6 linked regions of the Canis lupus familiaris genome follow. The protein of the gene in region 1 interacts with the protein of each later gene in a pairwise test. Links are inferred from orthologs where the notes say so. Each region holds a gene or a part of one and is shown in the gene's direction. Other genes may lie near its edges.

Region 1 (4,668 bases):
TCCTGTCTCTTCCCACCTCCCCCTCTCTGCTCCCAGGTGGCATGAAGCCCAACACTTTGGTCCTAGGTTTCTATGATGATGCTGCACCCCAGGACCACTTCCTGACAGACCCGGCTTTCTCCGAGGCTACTGATGGCACCCAGGAGGGTGGGTCCCCAGCCCTGAGCACTCTGTTTCCTCCACCCCGGGCTCCTGGGAGCCCCCGGGCTCTCAGCCCCCAGGACTATGTGGCCACAGTGGCAGACGCCCTCAAGATGAACAAGAATGTGGTTCTGGCCCGGGCCTGTGGGGCCCTGCCCCCGGAGCGGCTGAGCCGGGGTTCAGGGGGTACCTCTCAGCCACATCACGTGGATGTGTGGCCTCTCAACCTGCTGCGGCCCCGGGGTGGGCCTGGCTACGTGGATGTGTGTGGCCTTTTCCTGCTGCAGATGGCAACCATCTTGGGCATGGTGCCTGCTTGGCATAGCGCCCGGCTCCGGATCTTCTTGTGCCTGGGGCCTCGAGAGGCCCCCGGGGCGGCTGAGGGGCGGCTCCGGGCACTGCTGAGCCAGCTGAGGATCAGAGCCGAAGTACAGGAGGTGGTGTGGGGTGAGGGGGCTGGGGCTGGGGAGCCGGAGGAGGAGGAGGAGGAAGGAGACTTTGTGAATGGCAGGCGGGGAGATGCTGAGGCAGAGGCCCTGGCATGCAGTGCTAACGCCCTGGTTCGGGCCCAGCAGGGGCGCGGCAGAGGAGGCGGGCCCGGTGGGCCTGAGGGTGCGGATGGCGAAGGTGGGCCTGCCACAGCCCTCACTTTCCTATACCTGCCTCGGCCGCCCGCCGATCCTGCCTGCTACACTCGCTACCTGGCGCTCCTGGAGACTCTGACCCATGATCTGGGCCCCACGCTACTCATTCACGGAGTCACCCCAGTCACTTGCACTGATCTCTGATGCCCGGGGCCTGGAGCAGAGGGTGCCCAGGTCCGGTGACCTGCTTTGATCAGTGGATGCAGAAGGGAAGGGCAGCCTCCCGCCTGCTCCACGTGTGGGGTGTGGAGCCCTGTGGAAGTACTAGGGGATCCTGGGCTGGGGCACCCCTCTGTCCCTGTGAGAGGGGCTTTAGTGCACTAATGCAGGGCAGCTGTGTCCCCACCACGCTGGGGGAGAAAGGCAGCAGCCCTCCCCACTGGCCTCCCTTCCTTCACTGGTGCCTTGATGGAGGCTGGGTCTCTGCTTTGACTCTCGGCTACCTCAGTCTCCCCTTGCCCAACAGACTCGCAGACCCCTGAGGTTGTGATGTTTTTGTTCTGTTTTATTTTTCTAACCGCTGAACGTGAATAAAAGACCAAAACACTATGGGCTGGCCTGGCTGAGCACTGCTAGGGGCGGTAGGTGGGGCGGGAAGAGAGAGATCTGGTTGGGGGAGTGTGGGAAAGAGCCGCGCTGGAGCGCGTCCCAGCGGCGAGGTGGCCACGTGCGGGACTTGGGGCGCCAGTCTGGGGGAACGAGTGAAACGGAGGCAGCCTTGGAAAGCTCTCCCTGCTCGGCGGGAGGGGGCCGACTGGGGGAGGGACGGCAGTTTAGGGCCTAGGGGGCCACGTGACCCTCCCCCAGGAATGTGGTGACGTCACCGGGGGCGTGGCTGTCCCCAAAATTGGGGAGGAAGGGGAAAAAAAAGGCCAGAAAAAGTTTCTTTCCTGGAGTTCCAAACGAGGTGTGGGACAGAAGAAGGGGCCAAGACCAGAGTCTTGGGGCTACGTGGGGCCTGACCGCTGTCTAGAGTCTCCTGATCCCGGCCATGTCGGGGCCCACCTGGCTCCCCCCAAGGCAGCTGGAGCCTGCAAGAGCCCCTCAGGGGAGAGCACTCCCCCGAGGTGCCCCGGGGCCGCCGCCAGCCCATGGAGCAGGTAAGGCAGCCCCAGTGCCGCCAAGGAGGCCACTGGCCATTCTGAGCTCACCTTCGCCTTCTGGTTCCTGCCTCCTGCCCCTGGCTTGTCCCTGCCACCCCTTCCCTGAAGCCCTTCCGGCTTCCTGCTCCTGCTCTGTTCTGGGACTCCAAGTGTGGGGGGGGAGGGGAGAAGAGTGACCCATGAGGGCGGCCTCCATAAGTGTCACCCTCCCCTCCTTCCCCATCCCCACCTTGGCTCTCTTTTCCCTCACCCTAGCACATCAGCCCCACCCCAGGGTCAATTTTTGCCCCCTCCCATCTGAGCAGTGTTACCAGGCCCCCGGGGGACCAGATGATCGGGGGTTCCCCTGGGTGGGGTGCCATGGAGCACCCCAGCGCTCACAGGTGAGAATTGGAATTGGGAGTGGGTGGGAGGTGGGGGCACCCGGGGCAAGTGACTTGAATTCTCCCTGCTTTTTCTTCATCTCCAGGGGCTCCCCCCAGACAGGGGGGCCTTGCGTCCAGGAAGTCTGGATGCCGAGATAGATTCGCTGACCAGCATGCTGGCTGAGTTGGATGGAGGTCGTGGTCATGCCCCACGGCGGTCAGACCGGCAGGTGACTTCCCTGTCCCACCCCTGTTCCTTGTCTCCTGCCCTCTTCCACACTCCCCATCCTGGTCCTTTCCCTAGATTCTCAACCTGGTACCCTTCACCCTTGCCCCCATGTGTGATACATGCAGGAGTATCACATCTTACTAGATTGTCAGCCTCTTGAGTGCTTGTCAAAGACCAGCACTACCTTGGGGACACACACACACACACACACACACACACACACGTGGGAGGGCCCACAAGTGTGTGTCCTGGAATGGGCCTTCTCACTCCTGGTCTGTTTCTCCCCAGGCTTATGAGCCCCCTCAGCCCCATGCCTACCGCACAGGCTCAGGCTCCCTGAAGCCGAATGGAGGGGGTGTTCCTATTCCTCCCCAACAGCTCTCAGCGTCTCCCTATGGGGGCCCCACTCCAGCCTCCTATGCTACAGCCAGCACCCCCGCTGGCCCTGCCTTCCCTGTGCAAGTGAAGGTGGCACAACCAGTGAGAGGCTGTGGCCCTCCCAGGCGGGGGGCCTCTCAGGCCTCCGGGGCCCTCCCGGGCCCTCACTTTCCTCTCCCAGGCCAAGGTGAAGTCTGGGGGGCTGGCTATAGGAGCCACCATGAGCCAGGGCCAGGGGTTAAAGAGGAGGCTGCAGGAGGAGGAAGAGGAGGCGCGTATGGGCCCCAGGTAAGCCCTAAGTATTGGGATGTGGGGTCCTCATGGACAACTGGACACTGATTGGGTGGGGTGGGGAGTCCTGGGGTGTTGGAGTTCTGGGTCCCAGGGATGTGGCGCTGGTCAGGAAATAGAAGAGGGAGGTGCTGGAGCTGTACACTGGCTCCTGGAGGTGCACCCCTGGGCCCCGGGCTGAGACCTCGTCAGATGAGCTTTCTGCTTGGAACTGCCTGGTCCCCTTCAGGAAAGTCTGACAGCATAGGGAGCTGGAGGTAGGGCTGAACCCCTGACTCCCCCCTTTCAGGTCCCCCTGAACCAGCCTCCTGAGGAAGAGCTTGAGAGGCTGACGAAGAAACTGGTGCATGACATGAACCATCCTCCCACCGGGGAGTACTTTGGTGAGCTGACCTGAGGTGGGAAGGGGGGCAGGGGACTGGGGAGTCAAGGGGACAGCGAATCCACCTTCCATTCTGCATGCTTATTGACCCTGTCCCTCCCTGTCCCCAGGGCGGTGCGGCGGCTGTGGGGAAGATGTGGTTGGGGATGGGGCTGGCGTTGTGGCCCTGGACCGGGTCTTTCACGTTGGCTGCTTCGTGTGCTCTACATGCCGGGCCCAGCTTCGGGGCCAACATTTCTATGCTGTGGAGAGGAGGGCGTACTGTGAGAGCTGCTATGTGGTGAGTGGGTGTGCTGGGGGTGGCCTGGGTGCTGGAGTCTGTAGCAGGAGGCAGGAGGCTTCCATCTAAGGTAGCAGGAGGCAGGAGGCTTCCATCTAAGGTGGAAACTAGATGTCTAAGCACATGAGAGGGACAGAATTCAAAGGTGGGGGATGCCTGGGTGGCCCAGTGGTTGAGCATCTGCTTTCGGCTCAGGTGGTGATCCTGGAGCCCTGGATTGAGTCCCGTATTGGGTTCCCCCCAGGGAGCCTGCTTCTCCCTCTGCCTATGTCTCTACTTCTCTCTCCGTGTCTCTCATGAATAAATAAATAAAGTCTTAAAGGAAAAAAGAACTCCAAGCTGGGGGACTAAACTGATGTGTAAGAAGGAAGGAATTGGGAAAGTAGTGAAATTACTGGCTGCTGGAGGGAAAGGACAATAGTTCCTTACAAATGTGAGAGGAGGAGGAAGAAGAGGAGGAGACCAGACTTATCTTGAGTTAAGGGAATATGTTAAATTTCCACACTGCTGCCCCTGTGAAGCAGCTGATACTACTGTAGGAAACGGAAGTTGAGACTGGATCACTTCTGTAGGAAGCTACAGTGCTGGGACTTAGATCTGTTCAGGGCCACTTTTCACTGAATCCCTTGCAGGCTATAAAAACAGGTGGGTAGGCCAGCAGGGTGCCTGCCAGCCACCGGACCTCCTCAGCCCTGAACTTGCCACCCTTCCTTTCTAATTCGCTAGGCCACCCTGGAGAAGTGCTCCACATGCTCCCAACCCATCCTGGACCGGATCCTGCGGGCCATGGGGAAAGCCTACCACCCTAGCTGCTTTACCTGTGTGGTGTGCCACCGTGGCCTCGACGGCATCCCT
Region 2 (4,677 bases), on another chromosome or scaffold:
TGGCCTGGCTCTCTGCTGAGCAAGGGCGTTCCTGCCCTCATGGAGTCCACAGTTGAGATGAATAATATTGTTCTGCACAAGGAGACAAGCTGTACACTGTTAAGGGCATCGCCTCCCCAGATACCAAAACTGCAAAAGACCTTTTACATGTCCAGAAAAAAACCCTCAGCTCTCAAAGAACCTCAAAGAACTGGGATTTTATTATTGGGGTTTTGGTCTTGGGTTTGTTCCTACAGATTCCAACTCCACAGAGTGACCACAGAGAAGTGGCTGAGGACACCAAAAAGGAAGAAGAGGAAGGTGAGTATGTTGGGGGGTAGCCCAGGAATCAGAGGGGTGTCCTTGCCTGGGATAGCTTGGCTGAGGTTTGACCCCCAGGTTATATCCAGAGGACTCAGGGATGCTCATCATTGACCATCCCAACCCACAGTGTCCAGCCAAGGTCCAGAGGACTCACTCCTGGGGACTCAATCCCGTGGCCACTTCAGCCGCCAGCCAGTGAAATATCCCCGGGGTGGAGCACGGCCTATCACCCACCAGCTGTCCAGCTTTGCCTTGGTAGCTTCCAAATTGTGTGAGGAGACCCCTATCACATCAGTGACGCGAGGGAGTTTGCGGAGGCGAGGACCTGGCCCTGTCACCTCCTCGCCTGAGGGCAGCCCTCTGCGCCGCACCCCGCTGCCCAAGCATTTTGAGATCACCCAGGAGACAGCCCGGCTTCTCTCCAAGCTACCCAGCGAAGCTATGCCCAAGGCCACCTGCTGCCCAGATCCCCAACCTGAGGAAGCTGAGGACCATCTTTGACCATCCCAGCCTTCTGACCAAGGGGGAAAGGACTGAGAGGTGTTCAGTGTTGGGGGAACTGGAGAGTTCCTGCAAGGAAAGACTACATGGCCTTGGAGACTAAAACCCCTTTTGAAGCAATATACCAGTATTCCCCCACTAGACATAGGTCACTGCCAAGCATCAGGGCCACTCAGGTTCAGAGGTTAGTCAGGGTCAACACTCAGGGTCATTACAAGTCATGGGATCCTTGGCATCCACTCTAGTCTCTAACCCCTGGGACAGGGGTACCTTTTGCTACTTTGGTTGTAGCCACTCCCCCACCTCTGCCTGCCTCCTTAGCTGCCTCAGGTGAGCAGCTCTTGGAGGGAGTGGGCAGCCCAGACTCTGTGGCACCTGGGGCCTGACGCCTGGGAATAAACTGTGTCCTTTATACCCTTGAGTGTCTTTTTTTTTTTTTTTGCCAGGCAAGGGTGATGGGAGAGAGAGAGGGGAGGGCAGCATCCTTTGGCCCCACTTTACCCACTGGAGGAACTAAGGCCCCCTTTCATCCCCAAACATCCTTGAGCACCTACAAGAAGTACGGGCTGGGCCCGGGCACCCGGCTGAGTCACAACGGCCCGTCCCTCCCGGAGCTCCACGTCCCCGATCCGGTCCTGCATAATCAAACAAATATAACAAAGTGCAGATAACCGGGACAATGGGGCTGTGTGCTCTGGGCCGTGGGAGCCTAGGGCCGCCATCAGCCGGGCCGGGCAGGGGGCAGCGCGGCCGCGGGCGCAGGGCGTGGGGGTGGGATTTCCAGAAACTTGAGCGCGGCCCGAGGGTCAGCTGGGGCCGGAGAGGTCCGTGGGGCCCCGGGGGCCGCGCGCGCGGTATCTCGGGGCCGGGGAAGCGGAGGCGGGGCGGGGGTCCCGGCGGTGGGAGCCCGGTCGGATCAGGGCGTGGCTTGGAGCTCGGCGACGGATTGGACGGCGGGGAGCGGGTGGGGTGGGGCCGGGCGGGGGCGCGGACCCTGAGACCACCCGGAGCTGCGCCCAGGCGGCGCGAGGTCACGGCGGGGACTTGGCGCGGTGAGTGGCTCGGCCCCCGGGGGCTCGAAACTGCGCGTGGGGCGGGCGAGGGCGGGGGCGGGGGCGGGGGCGGGGGTCCCGCGCCGGAAGTGCAGGGGCGACCGCGAGGCCGGGAGGAAACGGTGGGGGGCTGCGGTTCCGGGAGACCCCGTCCCGACCGCGCCGGCGGAGGCGGGATCCCCCAGGTGGCGGGGGCGGGGCGGGGCTCCCAGGTGGCGGGGGCGGGGCGCCGCGCCCAGGCAGGGGCGGGACCCCGCCCTCCGGCTCTCGGCTCTCGGCGCCCGCGCCCAGCGCACCCGGACGCTCGTCGGCTCCCGCGGTGGCCCCCAGGCTATGGGTCTGGGGCCTACCCCGTCCCCCCGGGAGGCCGCCCGTCTGCGACGTGACGGGCCGCCCAGACGAGGCCGGTACTGACGGTGGCGGGCGGGCGCGGGTCCCCGGGAGGGCGCGGCACGTGCCTGCGGGGCCCGGGCACCGCCCCCTCCTCCCCTTAGCCCCGGCTCCTCCTCCAGCCTGGGGGCGCCTGGGGGCGCCTGGAGGCCCCGCGGCCGCCGCCTCCCTGGCCGCCCCCTTTGTCTGGGAGACCGCCGGGGTCCTCCGTCCCACCCGTCACTGCCCGATACCCCGCCCGCCTCGGGAACGCTCGCGCCCAGCACCCGCCGCCCAACTTCTGGGGCCGCGTCGCTGCCGGCTCTGGTGGACCCGGTCACTTCCACGCTCAAGCACGGACTGCCCTGCAGGGTCCCAGCAGCGACTCCACCCTGCTCACACACGCCCCTTGGGCTCTACTTTGTGCACTGATCCCAGCAGCGAGCGTACCGTCCCTCACCCACTTGCACAGCTCCTGGCGCTTTGTCCCTCCTTCCCCGCCACTCACCCCCCCAGTACAGATTGGGCGCGCTTGGGTAGTAGATGATTTTTTTGTTGTTTTCGTTTGTTTGATTTTGCTTAAGTTAAAACAAACAGCCAGTCATTTGATTTGGGGGGATAATCTTTGTAAGGGTCTTATTAGTAAATGAGCAACAGCTGCCCATCCCCCACACTCCCACCAGGGAGCTTGCTTTCCCGGTTACCCTGGGCTCCACCACTGCCACTTTACCGAGTCTGAGACCCTTGCCCTTCCTGTCCTGACCCCCGCCCTCACTGGCTGCTGCTCATTCTTGTGTCCTTCGAACAAATGCCACCTATACTGACCTCTCCCTCTGTGCCCCCAGATGGTCACCATGGGCCAGTGCTACTACAACGAGACCATCGGCTTCTTCTACAACAACAGTGGCAAGGAACTCAGCTCCCACTGGCGGCCCAAAGATGTGGTTGTGGTGGCCCTGGGGCTGACAGTCAGCGTGCTGGTGCTGCTGACCAACTTGCTGGTCATCGCAGCCATTGCTTCCAACCGACGCTTCCACCAGCCCATTTACTACCTGCTTGGCAACCTGGCCGCGGCTGACCTCTTTGCTGGTGTGGCCTACCTCTTCCTTATGTTCCACACTGGCCCTCGCACGGCCCGGCTCTCGCTGGAGGGCTGGTTCGTGCGGCAGGGCCTGCTGGACACCAGCCTGACGGCATCAGTGGCCACACTGCTAGCCATCGCCGTGGAGCGGCACCGCAGCGTGATGGCTGTGCAGCTGCACAGCCGCCTGCCCAGAGGCCGAGTCGTCATGCTCATCGTGGGGGTGTGGGTGGCTGCACTGGGCCTGGGGCTGCTGCCGGCCCACTCCTGGCACTGCCTCTGTGCCCTGGACCGCTGCTCACGCATGGCCCCCCTGCTCAGCCGCTCCTATCTGGCTGTCTGGGCCCTGTCCAGCCTGCTTGTCTTCCTGCTCATGGTGGCTGTCTACACCCGCATTTTCTTCTATGTGAGGCGGAGGGTGCAGCGCATGGCAGAGCACGTCAGCTGCCACCCGCGATACCGAGAGACCACACTCAGCCTGGTCAAGACCGTTGTCATTATCCTGGGTGAGTGAGTGTCCTCAGCTGGCCCAGGGTTGCGGGAACCCTGCTTCCCCCCAACTCCCACAAGGCATGGGAGGGCATGATTTGGGTGGGGAATGTTCTCCAAGGAGGTGACATCTGAGCAGAGACCTGAATGCTGGGAAGGGAAGACTTCCAGGCAGAGGGAACAGAAGGTGAGAGTCCCGCAGGACTGGGCTGTGCCTCCAAAGAGGAGAGGAGGCCCGTGTGGCTGGAGAGAAGCAGGAGAAAAGGTCAGCACCGCCTCGAAGGGCACAGGCAAGAGTCAGATTTTGTTCTGAGTTCTGTGGGAAGCCCTCAAGAGTTCTTAGTAGGGAGTAATGAGGTCAGTCTGGCTGTAGAGTGGTCTGAGTGGGGGAGGTAGCCAGGTTATCCTGCAAGGATACACTCCCCTACCCCTAAGAACAAGGAGTGACTCTTCCCTATGACCCCCTTTCCCCCCACCAAGTAACACCTCTCCCACATGACCTCCTTCCCCTCATAGAACAAATTTTCATGTAGAAATGTCCAGCACCCTGTCTACCGTGTACCAGGTTAGGAAAGGCATCCCTTCTGGCAGATAAATCAGAGAAAGGTGTCAGGCGGCTCTTGCCCTGCAAACTACACGGCTGTTGTCTGAGCTCTGGAGCTCCTTCCAGGCCTGAGCTCTGACCTGTGGGTTTTGGGCCCCAATAGCTAGCCCTGCTCACCTCAGGCTCCATCCTATAGGGGCGTTCGTGGTCTGCTGGACTCCAGGCCAGGTGGTGCTGCTCCTGGATGGTCTGGGCTGCAAGTCCTGCAACGTCCTGGCGGTGGAGAAGTATTTCCTACTCCTGGCCGAGGCCAACTCACTGGTCAACGCCGTGGTGTA
Region 3 (4,754 bases), on another chromosome or scaffold:
CTAGGAAATCTTTCTGGGACAGAGGAAATCAGATTTGAGGTTTGAGAGTTGAGGCCTGGGAAGTGAGGCATGGAGGCAGTCCCCAAAGTGTGTTCTGCGTCTTTGCCAGAATTAGCTGGAAGCCTTTGGGATAACCACGTTGCCTCTCTAGGTCTGTTTACTTACCTACAACCTCAGGGAGAGCTAAGGGAGATGGTCCAGTTGATCTCCGCAAAGCCTCTCAACACAGCATTTTCCAATTTTGTGAATCAATGAAAACAAGCCATTTCTCACATGTGGGGGTGGGTGGGGTGGGGAGGAGAAGGGGGAGGGGCGTGGTGTCTTTGTGGTGTGTACCCACTCCCCCACCCATGCCTAAGGATCAAAGCATCACTAGAGGCTGGCGAACGGGACCTGGCCAAGCTTGGCCCAGGCAGGGGCAGGGGCAGCGGCAGGGGCAGCGGCTGCCCCCCCCCCCACCCATCACATGCCGAATCTCAGAGCAAGAGTGTCACTCCTCTGAGATCACAGCCTAACACCTTCGAAGGACAGTCTGGGCCGCAAGGGGACCTCAGAGAACGGTGCGAGGCACGGGATATTTGCCGCATCCGGAGCCCGTGGGGTCTCCCTTTGCTGGCTGGCTGGGGGTTGCTTCGGAGGTTCAAGACGCCGTAACTCCCTTAGTCACCGGTTTCAAAGTAGATGATTCAGGCTCCGTGCGGTGATGGGGAACCAGGCGAGGAGCTGTGGGACCACCGCCACCTCCCCCACCGCCCCACGCGCCTTAAAAAAAAAAAAAATTTTTTTTTAACCCTTTCTCCCACCCCGATTTCTAGTTCCCTTGTGCACTTAGGGCCCGATAGGATGGATCCTGCCTTCCGGGTGCAGTTTAAATATATTTGCATAATTTTGCACGACTATTGCGTCATCGTCGAAGTGGTCGTGGTACCCCGAGAGGCCTCCTCGGCTTCTTCCAAGCACCGGGGCCTCTGGACGCTTCCGGGCGCTGCGGGCACTTGCGCGACGAGCCCTGGGCTCCTCCCGGGCTCCGGGCCCCGCCCCCGCCCCTCCCCCGCCCGCGGCTCCGCCCCCCGCCCCCGCCCCCGCCCCGCGCGGGGAGTCAAGCTAGGGTGAGCGGCCAGGCCGGGCGGCGGCGGCGGCGGCGGCGGCGGCGGCGGCGGGCGGGGCGCGGGGCGCGGGGGCCGGGCGGGGCGCGGGGGCCGGGCGGGCGGCGCTCGGGGAGGCGCTCGGGGAGGCGCTCGGGGAGGCGCCGGGGCCCGCCCTCCTCCGGGGCGCAGCCGGGAGGGGCCCGGGCGCGCGCGGGGCGGGGAGAGCCGCCTGGCCCCTCCCCTCCGCCGCCCTCCCCAAAGTTGCCGTCTCCCCCGGGGCCGGCCGGTCTTATGATCCAGCGGATCCTCCGGGGGAGGCCGGGCCGGGGAGCGCGCGGGCGGCGGGCGGCGGGCGGCGGGGGCGGCGGGGGCGGCGGGGGCAGCGGGCGGGCGCGGCGAGCGGGGCCCGGGCGGGGATCCGGGCAGCGGCCGAGGCGGCGGCAGCGCCCCGGGCCCGCCGCCCCCTCCGCTCGGCGGGGGCCGCCGCTGCATGGGGCCGGGGGGGCGGCCGTGCTGCGCGGAGCGGCGGCGGCGGCGGCGGCGGACCCCCCAGGCGGGCTGGGGCTGAGCCCGGGGCCGGGGCGGGGGCTCCGGGGGGACCATGCCCGGAGGCCGGCCGGCCGCAGCATGGCTCACGGGCCCGGCGCGCTGATGCTCAAGTGCGTGGTGGTCGGCGACGGGGCGGTGGGCAAGACGTGCCTACTCATGAGCTATGCCAACGACGCCTTCCCGGAGGAGTACGTGCCCACCGTCTTCGACCACTACGCAGGTAAGGCTGAACTGCTGACTAAGGGGCCGCTCCCCGGCCGGGAACTTTGGAGCAACTTTGGCGGAGCCCCCTCGCCGCCTCCCCCGGGCGCGCTCCCCCCGCCCGGCCCCGCGCCGCCTCCCGGCCCCACCCCCGGGCCTCGGGGCGCCCGCTCCCGGCCCCCCGCGCCTCCCGAGCGCCGGGCGCCCTGGGACGACCTCCTTGACCTTCCCACGGCCTCCTCCCGACGGCCCACGCCCCCTGGGGGGACGCTCGGGGCACCGGCGAGCCGTGGCCACGGGTGGGCAGCTGGGGCCACAGCACAGCCCGGCCCCCCGCCACTCGGCAGGGAGCCCGACGCTGGGGAGGAGGGGTGACACCTCCCGGGAGCGCCGCACGCCTCCGGAAGGACCGACAGAGCCGTCCTGATGGGGAGCCGGAGGGCCCCAGACCCTAGATAATCCGAGCTTCTCTCCCCGCCCCCGCTTCTGTCCTTGCAGTCAGCGTCACCGTAGGGGGCAAGCAGTACCTCCTGGGACTCTATGACACGGCCGGACAGGTGAGTGTCTTGGCCCCTGGCCCACACCCCCTTGCCTCTCCTCAATTCAGGCTGGCGGCAAATGCACCCTGAGGTGTCTCGGAGGGAGGGTGTGTCTTCGAGGGGCCCCTCTGGATCAAGTCTTTATTTCTTTTCTCAAGTCAGCAAATTAGGAAAAGGAAAACACACACACACACACACACACACACACACACACAAGCCGACAACAAACCCAGCCCAGCCCACCCCATGTGAACCCCTGGGCTGTGAAAGTTTTTGCCTGTGTGTGCTTTCTGTGTGGTGCCTGGTGTGTGGGTCCCAACTCCTGTTGCAAAGTGGCAGCGGCCAATCATGAAGCGCCCTTATTTTTAGTTGCAGATGACCAGGTCTCCCCCTCACAGCCTCTGTCTGGTCCCTCATTGGTGAGTGGTCTGCCTGCCTGAGGAGCCTGATTGGTGCAAAATGGCATCATCTAATATGATGGGAAGGCATTTGGTCCTGGTTATGTTTATTACAACATCATTGCACTCTGGGACTCGAGTCCCTGCAAACGTAATTTGTGGTGTTACCAGAGGACCACAGGGGAAAAAAAAAAAAAAAAGAAAAGAAAAGAAAAGAAACAACAACCATCCAGCCACTCCCTGGGGTAGGGAGGAGGAGGAAGGGTTAGGAGTATGAATCTTGGAGGAAGAGCCCCCTCCCCCCCCCCCCCGCCCCCACCCTTCTCTGGGAAGGCCAGGTGACTTTGTCTGGGTTTTCTTTGAGAGAGATTATTGTGCAGAAAGAAAACGGCACAGTCCTCCTGGCAGCCTCTGACCATTAGCAAATCGGAGGTTGGTTCTAAAGGATTAAAGTCTCCTTCCTCTCTGTCTCTCTTCCCAGGCTCACTTTTGCTGTGGGGCTGGGATGATTACGTATAATGAAGTTTTGCAGAATCCAGCCCTGTGATTAGACGTGAAACCTTGGGCAGAAGTTTTTCACGTGTCATGCAGACTTGAGTCCTTGAGGACGTGTGAACAGCTGAGGGCTTTAGAGAGTGCCTTGGGGGATCTCCAGGAGTACAGTTTCCTTATCTATAAAATGGGCTTCAGAAAGTTCTCTGTTCACATATTATATGCCAGACGCTTAGCACTGAATCTGGCGCACCCAGGGAGATGCTCAATAGAAGGGAACTATTCTTTGCAGCTTTTCTAGATTTGGAGTTCAGAGTTGTGGTACCAGGTTGAATTGAAGAATGTCTTACAGACGGTGTCTGGATGTGGCTTCTGGCTTCTAAACTGTTAAGTTAGAGGAGCATCTGAGGATAGAGAAACTGTTGGCAGGGCCAGGTGGCAGGGGCTGTCCCCTTTCTCCAAACCAACCCAAGTCAGTACAAGTTCTTAGCTTGCCAGGGCCCCTTTTGGGTGCCTGCCCTGTAGCTGTTACTTTATTCTATCAGAACGTGTGGAGGGCAAAAGGCAGAACCCAGTCAATTAAATAAGACCCGACTTTTGAACAGTACACTTGATAAATGACAGGTTGAAGTTTGGGATTGAAAAGGAGAGAAGTTTTTAAACACCGCCTCTAATTTTAACGTCTCTCACTACCGCCTCTTCCCCTTTCTCCTTTAACTTGTTACCATGACCATTCATTTGACCACGAGCCTATTCAACAGGATGTGTATATGTCAGACCTATTCTGTGCGCATTCAAATCCAACTAATACTTACCAAGTTCCTTCTGCATGTCAGGCATGGGGCAGCCACATGCAAATACTATTTTCTCCAAGAAGCAACCCCATGAGCAAAGTGATACTGTCTTTGCAGATGGGGAAACTGGGGCTCAGAGAGGCTAGGTAGCTGACCTCAGGTCACATAGCCAAGGACAGGTGTTGCTGGGACATGGACATGGGTCTGAATTTGCTCTGGTTTGAGGTGATTATACACACAGGAAGCCACTGGAAAGGCTGAGATGCCACTTGGGTTGATTAATCCAGAACCCTGTGGGTCTGTAGACCTGGGTACCTGGAATCTGGACAGCCATTCTCTGAGTGACAGTCATGCACTACCACTACAGTGGAAAGAACCCAGATCCAAATCATCACCCGAAGCTGGACCCACGCACAAAACCAGGGCTTCCCATAAGTTATTGTGATTGCTGTGTCCAGTGGAGATGGGAAGACACATACCAAACGGTATCAAACTATTAGTAAGGTTCAGTTACCCAATGATGTGACACCTACTCTATTGGCCAAGATGTGTTTTAGGGCCCCTTGGTGTTTGTCCTAGGATCTGGAACTTTTCCTTTTAGATCAGTTAGTGATAATTCATCTTTCAGCATTTAAGGGTTTATTACTAATAAGCAATCTTAGCAATGTCATCATCAATGAGATGAAGCGAGGA
Region 4 (4,097 bases), on another chromosome or scaffold:
TCACGAAAACAGATAAATAAAGGACAATAAGAAGATGAAGAGTGGGTGTTTAGTATCCACAGTTGGCTATATTACTTAAAATGTCCAGTTTGTGGGGCACCTTGGCTGGCTCAGTTGGTGGAGTGTGTGACTGTTGATCTCTGGCTTGTGAGCTCGAGCCCCATGTTGGGTGTGGAGATTACTGAAAAAAATCTAAAAAAAAAAAAAAAAAAACCTAAAAAAAAAAAAGATGTCCAGTTTGCAACAACAACAACAAAAAAAAAAACGAGAAAACACTCAAAGAAGAAAGTATAACTTATAAATAGGATAAAAAGCAGGCATCTAAAGCTGCCTAGGAAAGGGCCCAGATGTTAGACTTAGCAGACAAAGCCTTTGAAGCAGCCACTATAAATGTCCAAAAAACGAAAGGAAACTGCTTAAAGAAGTCAAGGAAGGTATGATGACAATATCTCATCAAATACAGGATATCCACAAAGAGTTAGAAATTATAAAAAAAAAAAAAAAGAAAAAAGAAAAAGGTTGGAAATCCTGGAGTTGAAAAGCACAATAACAACAACAAAAAAAGGTACAATAACTAAAATTACAAACTCACTAGAGGGGCCCAAGAACAGATTTGAGCTGCCCAAAGAAAGAATCAGCAAATTGAAGACAAATTGATGAGACTGAAGGGAAAAAAAAATGCAGGAAAGTGAATTGAAGAGACCTCTTGGACACCATCAGGCATACCTAAACATTTTTTGGTAAAGAGAATAAATACCAAAAGGAGTACAGAGAAGTAGAAAAGATATTCAAAGAAATAATAGTAGAAAAAACCCCAAATTTGATGAAAAACCTGAATTTACATATCCAAAACCTCAATAAGTCCACAAAGGACTTATAGGATAAACACAGAAGAGATAATACCCCAATACATCATAGTAAAAATGAGGAGAGTAAACAATCTTGAAGGCAACAGAGAAATGATTCACCACATCCAATGGTACTGCAATTAGACTGGGAGGCTCTAGGGATGCCAGGGTGGCTCAGCAGTTGAGCGTCTGCCTTTGGTTCAGGGTGTGGTCCCGGGGTCCCAGTATCGAGTTCCACATTGGGCTCCCTGCTTGGAGCTGGCTTCTCCCTCTGACTGTCTCTGCCTCTCTCTCTCTGTCTGTGTCTCTGATGAATAAATAAATAAAATCTTAAAAAGGGGGGGGAGGGGAGGCTCTAGAGTTACTTTTTTAATTTAAGCAGCATTTTTTTTTTTAAGATTTTATTTATTTATTCATGAGAGACAGAGAGGCAGAGACTTAGGCAGAGAGAGATGCAGGCTCAATGCTGGGAGCCTGGTGTGGGACTCAATCCCAGAACTCGAGGATCATGCCCTGAACCAAAGGCAGAAGCTCAACTGCTGAGCCACTCAGGCGTCCCTAAGCAGCATTTCCTAATGAATATGGATTATTCTTGTGTCTTAAATGATAATATAAAGCAGATTTTATGAATGGTGCAAATTATGTTCAAATTATGGTTTATTGTTGATGGTGTTGTTAACCTGTCTTCAACAGAAGGTTGTTTTTATTTATTTATTTATTTATTTATTTATTTATTTATTTATTTATTTATTTATGATAGTCACAGAGAGAGAAAGAGAGAGGCAGAGACACAGGCAGAGGGAGAAGCAGGCTTCATGCACCGGGAGCCTGATGTGGGATTCGATCCCGGGTCTCCAGGATCGCGCCCTGGGCCAAAGGCAGGCGCCAAACCGCTGCTCCACCCAGGGATCCCCAACAGAAGGTTGTTATCCATAATTCTGTATTCCATGATAACTTTATTTACTAAGCTGAATAATACCATTAAGTTTGGTTCCTGATATAGCTATTCTTAGGTGAAAGAACTTGTCAAAAATAACCTAATTACCACAAACACAAGTTCCTAACCCAACAACCAGGGCTACTTTTGAAGACAGGCATTTGTTACTGTGAACAAAGAAAAAAAAAAGTTAGATTCTTGCCCCTAGAAAAGGAGAGGAAGAGTAGTTGAGGTTCTTCTCCACAAGCTTTCTTACCCCACCTTCTTCTTGTCTTCCTTCCTTCCCAATATTTGGCACTTAAACCTGGCGATAAGGGGTAGGAAGGAGGGAGGAGGAGAAGCAGTGATGCTCAGCAGTGGCTGGTCTTTTTTCACATGAAACTTTGTATCTGAGGATCTTACTGGGCACTTGAGGTTTGTTGCATAAAGTTCTTTCAGAAATAGGGCAGTCCTGGTGGCTTAGCGGTTTAGTGCCCCCTTCAGCCCAGGCGTGATCCTGGAGACCAGGGATTGAGTCCCAGGTCGGGCTCCCTGCATGGAGCCTGCTTCTCCCTCTGCCTGTGTTTCTGCCTCTCTCTCTCTCTCTCTAATAAATAAATAAAATCTAAAAAAGAAAGAAAGAAATAGGACAAGCATATTTATGTAATGTGTTGAGACATTACCAGCTATCAACCACTGGTTTAAATTTGAAGTGGCTTCTAAAATCATCAAAATAAGTATTAAGCTCAAGATGCCCTGATACCGATTTATTTTTCTTCCCAGCTCAAAGAGAAGATAATGTTAACACATACTCGTTTATATTCACTGATGAAGATTCTGAAGGAAAGAACTCCTGACCAGCCCAAGCCAGAAAACTGATCCAGGATTAAAGCTTAACTAGGGGGATCCCTGGTTGGTGCAGTGGTTTGGCACCTGCCTTTGGCCCAGGGCGCGATCCTGGAGACCCGGGATCGAATCCCACATCGGGCTCCCAGTGCATGGAGCCTGCTTCTCCCTCTGCCTGTGTCTCTGCCTCTCTCTCTCTCTCTCTCTTTCTCTCTCTCTCTCTCTCTGTGTATGTGTGTGTGTGTGTGTGTGACTGTCATAAATAAATAAATTTTAAAAAAATAAAGCTTAACTAGGTTCAGGTCTTATTGCTGTCTTCATCAACAGGAGTTCTCAAGGAAGAAAGATTGGCTAAGAAGAGATGTGAACTCTATTCTCACCTTGAGGCTGATTTTCCAAATGATTTGTGAAGCTTTGTCTAGAAAATGAGAAACAAAGGAAACCCCTACCCAGGTTTCATAGCTATTTGCCTTAAGAACTTATTTTAGGGTGGCGCAGTGGTTTAGCGCCTGCCTTTGGCCCTGGGCGCGATCCTGGAGACCCGGGATCGAATCCCACGTCGGGCTCCCGGTGCATGGAGCCTGCTTCTCCCTCTGCCTATGTCTCTGCCTCTCTCTCTCTCTGTGTGACTATCATAAATAAAAGAACTTATTTTAGCTTATCAATTTCATAAATGTTTGTTTCTGAATACATATTTTACTGCAAATGTAGGTTAAGAGGCAGTGTCCTGCAAATGGTCTGACATAAAGATATACGGCTGTTATGAAAACAGAGTTGTATTTCATGTTGACTACTTTATTCCTACATGGAGCAGTTGTGATGATGAAGATAGAAAACATTTTTTTTCTTACATGCAATATACGTACAAACATACTCTGTAGGTAATATTCAGTAAGTTAACTGGAAAATATACAATTTATCTTTCTCTTTTCATTTCTAAACTGAGCCTACCCAGGTAATAATGAGAGAAATGATAAAACATTCACCAAAATGCTGTTTTTCATATTTTGCTTTATATACCACTTACACTCAGTACCTTGTCATATTATTCATTTAATAAAAGTCTACTAACTTTGGGGATAAAAGGTAAGCAAAAAGAGCCACTCTCTACCTGCACAGAGCTTTTAATCTCATTAGAGGTGGACGTTCAAACAACCACATGAATACATGTGAAATTATTACTATAGTAAAGGTTTTGAAGAAAAGAGACCTAGAGCTACCAGCACATGAAGCAGCTACCGGACCCCTGGGGTTGGAAAGGCTGCTCTGAGGAAGTGGGATTTCAGCAGTGGTCTGAAAGACTAGGAGTTAATTAGGGAATGGAGGGGGACCTGTGGAGAGGCCCTTAAAAGAAGGCCTGCAGGAGGTGAACTAGTGGCCAGAAACCAGAGGGTACAAGGACTTATTGGATGATGTTGTTGTTTAAGATTTTATTGATTTATTCATGAGAGACACAGAGACAGGCAGAGGGAGAAGCAGGCTCCCTA
Region 5 (4,097 bases), on another chromosome or scaffold:
TATGAAGAAAATCTGATATCACTCAAATAAGTGGTTGAAAAAGGAGAAGCATTTGAATAGTCTTTCAGATAATTGTGGATATTCTGCTTTGATATTAAGCCAAAGCTTAACTCGTTATAGTATCAAATGAGAAAACATATTGGCATACTTTTGTACTTTATTGCATTAAAATCCACTGGTCTATTTTATGTTTTGTGGATATTTTACCTGTGTATGATTTTGTAACATCATGCATTGGTCATTTGAAGTTATTGAGATGCCAGGTTATTGAGTTAAAAAAGATTTTCCGAATGGTGACAAGTTCATTATACAGTATTAGAAATCCTGTTCATTGCTATCATTATAAAGTTATCAGAAAAGTCTTTACATAGTAGGAAGCTGCCAAACTCATGGAGGCAGATACAAATTATATAAAATTCTAAATTTTGCTTGAAAGCTTAAACTTTATTGTTGGCAACAAATACTGTCGGTTGTTTCCTTTGAAGTGACAGGCTCATTTTACTTATTTTTGAGAAAATGTGAGCCAAATATCCAAGTCTGAATAATCATAGTTATTCAAGGGTGGAGGTTAATTAACTTACCCAGGGTCACACAGAGAATAGTTTTTTCTGATTCTGTTATATTTTATTGCCCCATGTCTAAATTATCTGGGACTTGCCAAAGCATGTTCTTACAATAGTGTATTGTGGTATTTTTCCTAGAGAGCATGAATGGTTTAAACAAGATTTGCCCAGTTACTTATTTCCTGAAGACCCCTCCTATGATGCTAACGTCATTGATGATGAGGCTGTGAAAGAAGTGTGTGAAAAATTTGAGTGTACAGAATCAGAAGTAATGAACAGTTTATATAGTGGTGACCCTCAAGACCAGCTTGCAGTGGCTTATCATCTTATCATTGACAATCGGAGAATAATGAACCAAGCCAGTGAGTTCTACCTCGCCTCTAGTCCCCCAACTGGTTCTTTTATGGATGATAGTACCATGCATATTCCCCCAGGCCTGAAACCTCATCCAGAAAGGATGCCACCTCTTATAGCAGACAGCCCTAAAGCGAGATGTCCATTGGATGCACTGAATACAACTAAGCCCAAATCTTTAGCTGTGAAAAAAGCCAAGTGGCATCTTGGAATCAGAAGTCAAAGCAAACCTTATGACATTATGGCTGAAGTCTACCGAGCTATGAAGCAGCTGGATTTTGAATGGAAGGTATGAAATTGTAGAATATTAAGATCATTTGTAAAGGTTTGTTTTTTTGTATAGTAAGCTGCACTGATCTATCGAGTCGAGTACTTATGTCAATAAAAAAGTTGTTTTGATTTAGATATAAATTGGTCTTGATGCTTCTAGATGATAAAAACTCCCATTTTTTCCATTAATATACCAAGTTCATTCAAAACTAAACAAAGTTCTATAAGCATGAAGAATCGTTGATGTTGGGGACCTACAATATTTTTGAATTGGAGACTAGCATTCTTAGTCAAGAAACAGAAAATAACCTGAAATCAATCACCTGAGAAAATAGTCCACCTATTTCTGTCTGCATCATAACAATAAAAAGTCATGTGTCTTCAAAGATGTTATGTTTTTACTTTTCTCCCTTTTCCCCCCTAGCTGTAGCAATACAGATGATATGCCATCAGGACATATTTTTTCAGTCAATAAATACTTTTCTCTAGGTTGAGAAAATCTCTTTTATTTGGCTAGTCCCAAAATAGTGGTATATTTTTCTTACTCTTAGCATCCAATTTTCTTTTTTTTAAATTAGTGTTCAAATTCATTGCAATTCTATTTGAGTATATGTGGGAGGAAAAGCATTTTTTTCATTTCAGATATCCTTTCTACTCTGGTTCCTTTCTTGAGGACTGTAAATGTATTTTTAAAGGAAGAAAAACATTCACATATACAATGTATATATTCATTTGACATATTTGAAAAATCCATCATTTTCATTTTATTTGTACATGAATAAGCAAAATAATAGTCTCTTAAAATCACTTAAAAAACAGATCCCCCTTTTCTTAAGTGATTTAGTTAAGAGACATTAATGTCATTAAAATCCAATACTGAAAAAAATTTGGAACTTATTTAATAGATGTTTTAAAAATCCAGAATTATCTTTATCTGAGCTGTAGTTCTTATCTCTTTAAAAGGCAAATAATAAAAAAAAAAAAAAAAAAAAAAAAAAAAAAGGCAAATAATACTTCTTCACAGGATTATTTGAATACTTAAATTTTGTGACAGTACCTGTTTATATTGCCTAATGCAAACTATTAATGTGTTCTTTTTTATTCCTTCTACTCCATATTAATAGGTAAAGTTATTCAAGATGATCAGAATTGTTGACATTTTAGAACAGAGGCATATCTAGAATGAAGGCCTAGACTCCATATAATCTCCGAGTGCCCTTTAAATTTCAGTTGCTTTGCACAGTCTGATTAGTGGAGATTAAATATAAATACTAAACTGTCATGTAATATAAAAAGATCATACAGGAATTCCTTTTCTACCCTACCTCTGTCAGTTGTTTCTTTTGATATTCTTTGCAATAAGAATAAGGGAGATATTTTGTAGTTCGTTATTTTTAACAACTTTCCTTAAAAAAAATTTCCCATTTTAGGTAGTGAATGCATATCATCTTCGTGTAAGAAGAAAAAATCCAGTGACTGGCAATTATGTGAAAATGAGTTTACAACTTTACCTGGTTGACAATAGAAGCTATCTTTTGGACTTTAAAAGCATTGATGGTAAGGAAGCTATGCAGACATGAGCTCTGAGAAGATAAAACTTGGCACTAGTTGACAAGATGTTAAAATCATCTCAAAGACATGGTGGGTAGGTCTTCTATACTGGTTTTTAAGTAATCTAGAATTAGCTAAAAATGCAAGTGAAATGAAAAAGATTGAAGACCTATATCTAACCCAGCACCTCTCCAAAAGATGTGCCTCCTTGGCATAAAGTCACTTGAAGTGTTGGCTGTGGAGCAAAAGTAAGGAACAATAGGGAAGCAATTTTTGCCTAAAATTAACTGATGTTGTCAGGTTCTTTGTCACATTTCTCCAGTCATATTTTATTATTATTAGGATTCCACTATCTAAACTTCCTCATTCATCAACTTCCCTCATTCTAGTTGGCCAGATGGGACTCTCTTTGGTTCAGGTTTAATTTTGATGCTCCAGCCATCCAGGAGACTGAAGGAGTCAAGGGAGGTGATTGTGGGTTGTGTTTTAAGTACTTAGTGGGTACCAGAAGTCAAACCTTCATGAACCAGATGTGCTTATTCAGTTTATTTTTTTTTTTAAGATTTTATATTTATTCATGAGAGACACACAGAGAGAGAGAGAGAGAGAGAGAGAGGCAGAGAGACAGAGAGGCAGAGACACAGGCAGAGGGAGAAGCAAGCTCCATGCAGGGAGCCCGAAGTGGGACTCGATCCCAGGTCTCCAGGATCACACCCTGGGCTGAAGGCAGCGCTAAACCGCTGAGCCACCCGGGCTGCCCACCCCCCCCCCCTTTTTTAAAGATTTTATTTATTTGCTTGTTCAGTTTAGAGGTGCAAGTGGGATACAAACAGTAAACCAGGGGTTAGGTGCAAGATAGAACAAGAGGAGAACTGAGTTCAGAGTTAAGGAAGTTGTTTTCAACAGAAGAGTTAAATTTTATTCCTCAGCTACCACTGACTATAGTATTTATAGTATTTATATGGTCTCTGACCACCATCATCAGAATTACCTAGAGTTCTTATTAAAATGCAGATTGTTGGTAACTACCCCCAGATCTCCCAAATCAGAATCTCTTGAGGTGACTTCTGGGAAACTGGAAATCTTTATTTTTTTTTTAATTTATTTATTCATGAGAGACACAGAGAGAGAGAAAAGGCAGAGACATAGGCAGAGGGAGAATCAGGCTCCATGCAGGGAGCCCAACGTGGGACTCAATCCCGGGACTCCAGGATCACGCTCTGGGCCGAAGGCAGGCACTAAACCACTGAGCCACCCAAGGATCCCCCGGAAATCTTTAACAGGATTTTCCTCACCCCGTCCCCAGTCAGTGTGCACTGAAGGTTCGGAATCACTGTATAATGATTGTAAAAGTTACCA
Region 6 (4,670 bases), on another chromosome or scaffold:
TCGGTTACGATCACGACCGGATGGCGGCGGCCTTGCGTTCTTACTCGGCAGGTCGGCAACACAGCCTAAGAGATCCGGATGAGGGGGGCATTCGCAGCGTTTTTGTGTGTCCACACGGAGGGCAAGGAGGCCTTCGCCAGCCTCACTGGGCACCTGAGGCTGGGACCTGGGCTGAGGTCATGCCAGGCTCCGTGGAGCCTGACTATGCGGGGAACTCCGCCTGGAAGCTTCCTCCGCTTTCCCAGGCCTGCCTGCGGGTCCCAGCCCTGGCTTTAACCGCGGTAGGGGAGCCCCGCTAGGGCAAAAACTGGTTGCTTGTTTGCCAGTAGCTTCTCCCAGGTTCAGACTCTGTTAGAAATGGCATCCTTGGTGCGGAATGGGTGCTGGAGAAAGGGACCCTTCCAGCTCCAGTCGGCTTCAAATAATAGGGGAAAGGTGTCCTAAATGCTACAACCATTGGATTACAAACTTGAGTCCTTGTTCCAAGTTGTAGTCCACAGTTGGAAGGCAGTCGAACCATTCTTGGTCTGGAACAGAAAATAACTTTCATCCCTGCCTGCTCCCCAAATGCACACTCGTGGGGCCTTGAGACTCATGCCCACTGAGCTGTGTGTGCTTCCCTTCCCAGCTCTGGCTGCCGGCCCTGGAACTGTTTCCATTGCTCTGCCTGCGGTTCTCTTATCTGAAAGGCCAGCACACCGCTTTCCCCTCAACTCCTCTGTGCCATTTTCCGGACCAGAGTATTGGATTTGTTTAGAGGCCAAGGTTTTAGAACTCTCAGGCGAAAAGAGGCGGTTTGTAATTACATCCATTTATTATTTTTTTATATACACACTCAGTCCCTTGCATTTCCAAAATAAAAGCTGACTCCAAAGCCTGAATATTTTCTCCCCAAGTCTCTGGACTGACGAAGAGGTAATATTAGTTTTTGTGTGTGTGTGTGTGTGAGATTTCTTCCCTTTTAGGCACCAGTAAGGACTGCTTAACACTCAGCGCCTGCTAATTACTTGGTAACTGTCCTATTCTGGGGACTAAGGCTCTTTAAATAGCCTTTCTATATATTTAAAAAAAATACTACTAATAATTCGAGTCTTCTCTGGGCACAAAAAGTCAAAAAGCAATGAGGGGAATCCAGCCTGCTTGCAGACAATTGCAATTAGGAGCGAGGTTTCCTCCAGGGTTAATGTTCCTTAATGAAAATCTCAGAGGCACCCGCGAACTGCCCAATATTTGGGATACTCCGGGATGCGGTGGGGGTGGGGATCAGGCGGAGGAATTTACAGGGAAAGGAAAATATTAGGGGGGAGGAGGCTGAGGCGACCAGGACCAGCCACGTCGGAGTTCACTGTGTCGGCCACTTCCCTCTTCCGGCGAGAGCGGATAAAGGGGCACCCGGTTGGTCTCCGCCAGGCTTCGCAGCCTCGGTCTGGGGGAGAGCCTGGCGTTCGAGGGTCCCTGTCCCGGGTAGGGATGTATCAGGCTTTGGGGGAGGATTACTGGAACTGCTGGGGAGCATGAAGGCAGAAAAGGAGATGGAAGCGCCCTCGCCGCCCGCCCTCGCCGCTAGGGAAGTGGGCTAATGAGAAACACACTCTTGCAGGCACAGTGTTCACACGTGAATTTAATTACCCCGTTTTTTGGAGTCGAGGCTTTCCGTTCGGATTTGGGGTGGGTTTTTTTTTCTTCCAACTACCAGAGGCCTTTTAATTTAACCCTGCAAGACTCTGAGGGGTGAGAAATGCCCTCCTCAATGTGGCCAAGCTAAGGAATGGGATTAAAGTCAATGCCCCGTGCCCCTCCCCGCTTTAATATCTAGCCCTGGACTTGAGCTGCGGTCGCCCAGCTTCGGGCTGTCCGGCCTGGTGAAAACCGAGGCGGGGCCCGGGGCAGTGGCCAGAAAGGAAGGAAGGAGGGAGCCCTGAAGAACCCATCCTGGGCGGCGAGGCCGACCGCTCCCGTGCGGGCCTCGCAGTTCCCGGAGCCCCGCGGTCTGTGCGGCGGGGCTGCCTTCTCGCAAGCCGATCTCGCCCTCCACGGAGGCTGCCTCGTGGGTTTTTTTTTTTTCCCTGCAGGCTCGGGTTGGGGGAACGCGACAAACTTGCCGAGCTCAGCGTGAGGGCCTTTGGGGTCGAGGCACAGTTTTGGGTCTCCCGCTGCGTTCGCCTGGGTCTCCTCCTGATTCCCCGCAGAGGACTCGTCGGGCGCGGGGGCGCGCGGGGGCGCGGGGCCGGGACCGAACCCGCGGCACAACCAGGCCCTCCAACCCTTGGCTGCTGGGACGGCTGGCCGCTCCTCGGTGGAGCGCTCGCTGGAGGCGCAGCGGGCGAAGCTAGGAGCTAGCTGCCCGGGTGTCCTGGGATCCCATGGGGGCAGATTTCAGGGCCCCACAATAGGCAGTGCCCTCTCCAGGGCCTGTCGCTGCCCAGCGCACTCGGGCAGGGGCGGTGGTGACTCAGTTTGGGACGGATACTGCGTTGAATTTGACTTTTCGCGGCCCGTCCGGGGTAAACTCGCATCTCCCGGGACTGCAGGGATTATTTACAGGGAGCTCGCCGACCAAACACAACACTCTAATTTAACCTTTCCAAGTCCTCGTAAATTTTTACAGCTGGGAGCCACGGCGAAGCAAACGAATCTGTGGGTCGTTCCCAACTTTTCCACCGGCCTGTGTGGCTTCTGAAACAATAACTCCTTATGAAATATCATAAATATAGATTTAAATACAGTAGAGCGAGAATGCGATTTGGCTGCTTTTTTATGGCTTCAATTATTGTCTAATTTTATGTGAGGGGCTCCACTGGCCGCACTCGCACGCGGGACCCGCGCCTTGCTGATGGCGTGATTAATTGTGATATAAAATAGTCCGCTTAAGAAGTGTGTGTCTGGTGGTGGCGGTGGGAGGGGAGGGAGTACAGAGGCAAGGCCAGATTTGATCTTTTAATCTTCGTTGGCCACAATTAAAACAAACCCGATCGTGGAGCGCCGCGATCCCTTTGCATAAAAACATATGGCTTTTGCTATAAAAATTATGACTGCAAAACACCAGGCCATTAATAGCGTGCGGAGTGATTTACGCGTTATTGTTCTGCCGGGCGGGCACGTGACGCGCGCGGCCAATGGGGGCGCGGGCGCCGGCAACTTATTAGGTGACTGTACTTCCCCCCCCCCTGGTGCCACCAAGTTGTTACATGAAATCTGCAGTTTCATAATTTCCGCGGGTCGGGCCGACCGGCCAGGCGCGGGGCACAGCGATGGCCACCACCGGGGCCCTGGGCAACTACTACGTGGACTCGTTCCTGCTGGGCGCCGACGCTGCGGACGAGCTGGGCGCGGGCCGCTACGCGCCGGGGGCCCTGGGTCAGCCTCCCCGGCAGGCCACCGCGCTGGCGGAACACCCCGACTTCAGCCCGTGCAGCTTCCAGTCCAAGGCGGCGGTGTTCGGCGCCTCGTGGAACCCGGTGCACGCGGCGGGCGCCAACGCGGTGCCCGCTGCCGTGTACCACCACCATCACCACCACCCCTACGTGCACCCCCAGGCGCCCGTGGCGGCGGCGGCGCCGGACGGCAGGTACATGCGCTCCTGGCTGGAGCCCACGCCCGGCGCGCTCTCCTTCGCGGGCTTGCCCTCCAGCCGGCCTTACGGCATTAAACCTGAACCACTGTCCGCCAGAAGGGGTGACTGTCCCACGCTTGACACTCACACTTTGTCCCTGACTGACTATGCTTGTGGTTCTCCTCCAGTTGATAGAGAAAAACAGCCCAGCGAAGGCGCCTTCTCCGAAAACAATGCTGAGAATGAGAGCGGCGGAGACAAGCCCCCCATCGATCCCAGTAAGTGTCTCCTCCCTTCAGACCGGCCGCCGCCTCCACGCCGGCCACCAGGATCTGCCAGCCCTTCGGCTTTCTCTTGAGCCTGCCTTCGCCTGCGCCGCCGGGAGCCTCTTGAGCAGGGGCCGGGAACCAGAAGTTGCTGTTTAGGATGCCTCGGATGGGGCCCCAATTCCAGAGAGCAGTGACAAGCCGGCTACCGGGTTGAGGGGGGAGGGGAGGCGGCTGCTGCGGGATGAGAGAGAGAGAGAGAGAGAGAGAGAGAGAGAGGGCGGGGCGGGCGCTGCCGGCCAAGCCAAGACCAGCCGCCCCTCTCCCTGGCTGCCCGGTACCGAGACAGCAATACTTTGGGCCGTTCTTCGAAAGCAGCTCGGCAGAGAATCTTTTGTGCGGCTAGATTGTCCTGGAGCGGCGGCAGCAACTGCAGCCTAGACCCTGGAGAAGACGGCCGATTCCCTCCACTTCTTGCCTTCAGCCAGTGGCGGCGTAAATCCTGCCCAGGATGAGGCTGTAGGCGACCGGGCCACGGTGGTCCCCTTGCCAGATTATTCAAATACACTGGAGAAGTGATCCGCGCCCTTGGGGCGCGCGGTGAGGGCTGCCGGAGGCTCCCACAGCCTTTCGGGGAGGTCAAAGAAGGATTGGGGAGAGAAGGAAAGGAGGGGAAGGGAGGCTACACACAGAGACAGTGTGTATGCGTGTGTGTGAGATAGTGAGAGGGAGAAGAGAATATGAGTGTTACAGGAACACAGGGCAGCGTGCTGTCCCTGTGCCTGGCCAGAAGAGGATCTATTTCCAAATTTCACTCCTTGCACAGTGTGCAGAGGGTGGAAAGAAGGAGA

The links.
Region 2: the proteins of TRIP6 (region 1) and LPAR2 interact in a two-hybrid assay, tested with the Homo sapiens proteins (2 studies listed by BioGRID). The link is inferred for Canis lupus familiaris from reciprocal best matches to the Homo sapiens genes TRIP6 and LPAR2.
Region 3: the proteins of TRIP6 (region 1) and RHOQ interact in a two-hybrid assay, tested with the Homo sapiens proteins (2 studies listed by BioGRID and IntAct). The two-hybrid records come from large-scale screens. The link is inferred for Canis lupus familiaris from reciprocal best matches to the Homo sapiens genes TRIP6 and RHOQ.
Region 4: the proteins of TRIP6 (region 1) and OIP5 interact in binary tests that used the Homo sapiens proteins (3 or more experiments, as listed by UniProt). The two-hybrid records come from large-scale screens. The link is inferred for Canis lupus familiaris from reciprocal best matches to the Homo sapiens genes TRIP6 and OIP5.
Region 5: the proteins of TRIP6 (region 1) and PRKAA2 interact in binary tests that used the Homo sapiens proteins (3 or more experiments, as listed by UniProt). The link is inferred for Canis lupus familiaris from reciprocal best matches to the Homo sapiens genes TRIP6 and PRKAA2.
Region 6: the proteins of TRIP6 (region 1) and HOXA9 interact in binary tests that used the Homo sapiens proteins (3 or more experiments, as listed by UniProt). The two-hybrid records come from large-scale screens. The link is inferred for Canis lupus familiaris from reciprocal best matches to the Homo sapiens genes TRIP6 and HOXA9.

Annotation. Positions count from the first base shown.
Region 1 is NC_049227.1:8,843,405-8,848,072, reverse strand, and holds the start of TRIP6 (thyroid receptor-interacting protein 6), read left to right. Parts: upstream 1-1,472; 5' UTR 1,473-1,776; coding exon 1,777-1,885; intron 1,886-2,143; coding exon 2,144-2,271; intron 2,272-2,357; coding exon 2,358-2,483; intron 2,484-2,770; coding exon 2,771-3,148; intron 3,149-3,440; coding exon 3,441-3,534; intron 3,535-3,643; coding exon 3,644-3,813; intron 3,814-4,539; coding exon 4,540-4,668. Other genes in the region: SLC12A9 (solute carrier family 12 member 9), read left to right, coding at 37-929. UniProt on the Homo sapiens protein: Relays signals from the cell surface to the nucleus to weaken adherens junction and promote actin cytoskeleton reorganization and cell invasiveness. Involved in lysophosphatidic acid-induced cell adhesion and migration.
Region 2 is NC_049241.1:44,053,440-44,058,116, forward strand, and holds the start of LPAR2 (lysophosphatidic acid receptor 2), read left to right. Parts: upstream 1-1,782; 5' UTR 1,783-1,856; intron 1,857-2,106; exon of another isoform or gene 2,107-2,263; intron 2,264-3,070; coding exon 3,071-3,812; intron 3,813-3,958; coding exon 3,959-4,060; coding exon of another isoform or gene 4,061-4,085; intron 4,086-4,535; coding exon 4,536-4,677. Other genes in the region: GMIP (GEM-interacting protein), read left to right, coding at 237-300, 431-804. UniProt on the Homo sapiens protein: Receptor for lysophosphatidic acid (LPA), a mediator of diverse cellular activities. Seems to be coupled to the G(i)/G(o), G(12)/G(13), and G(q) families of heteromeric G proteins. Plays a key role in phospholipase C-beta (PLC-beta) signaling pathway.
Region 3 is NC_049231.1:49,818,223-49,822,976, forward strand, and holds the start of RHOQ (rho-related GTP-binding protein RhoQ), read left to right. Parts: upstream 1-1,645; 5' UTR 1,646-1,715; coding exon 1,716-1,857; intron 1,858-2,336; coding exon 2,337-2,395; intron 2,396-4,754. UniProt on the Homo sapiens protein: Plasma membrane-associated small GTPase which cycles between an active GTP-bound and an inactive GDP-bound state. In active state binds to a variety of effector proteins to regulate cellular responses. Involved in epithelial cell polarization processes.
Region 4 is NC_049251.1:8,673,937-8,678,033, reverse strand, and holds part of OIP5 (protein Mis18-beta), read left to right. Parts: intron 1-2,547; coding exon of another isoform or gene 2,548-2,643; exon of another isoform or gene 2,644-2,931; intron 2,932-2,937; coding exon 2,938-3,039; 3' UTR 3,040-4,097. UniProt on the Homo sapiens protein: Required for recruitment of CENPA to centromeres and normal chromosome segregation during mitosis.
Region 5 is NC_049226.1:53,180,048-53,184,144, reverse strand, and holds part of PRKAA2 (5'-AMP-activated protein kinase catalytic subunit alpha-2), read left to right. Parts: intron 1-701; coding exon 702-1,206; intron 1,207-2,617; coding exon 2,618-2,744; exon of another isoform or gene 2,745-2,832; intron 2,833-4,097. UniProt on the Homo sapiens protein: Catalytic subunit of AMP-activated protein kinase (AMPK), an energy sensor protein kinase that plays a key role in regulating cellular energy metabolism.
Region 6 is NC_049235.1:40,434,836-40,439,505, reverse strand, and holds the start of HOXA9 (homeobox protein Hox-A9), read left to right. Parts: upstream 1-1,475; 5' UTR 1,476-3,251; coding exon 3,252-3,831; intron 3,832-4,670. UniProt on the Homo sapiens protein: Sequence-specific transcription factor which is part of a developmental regulatory system that provides cells with specific positional identities on the anterior-posterior axis.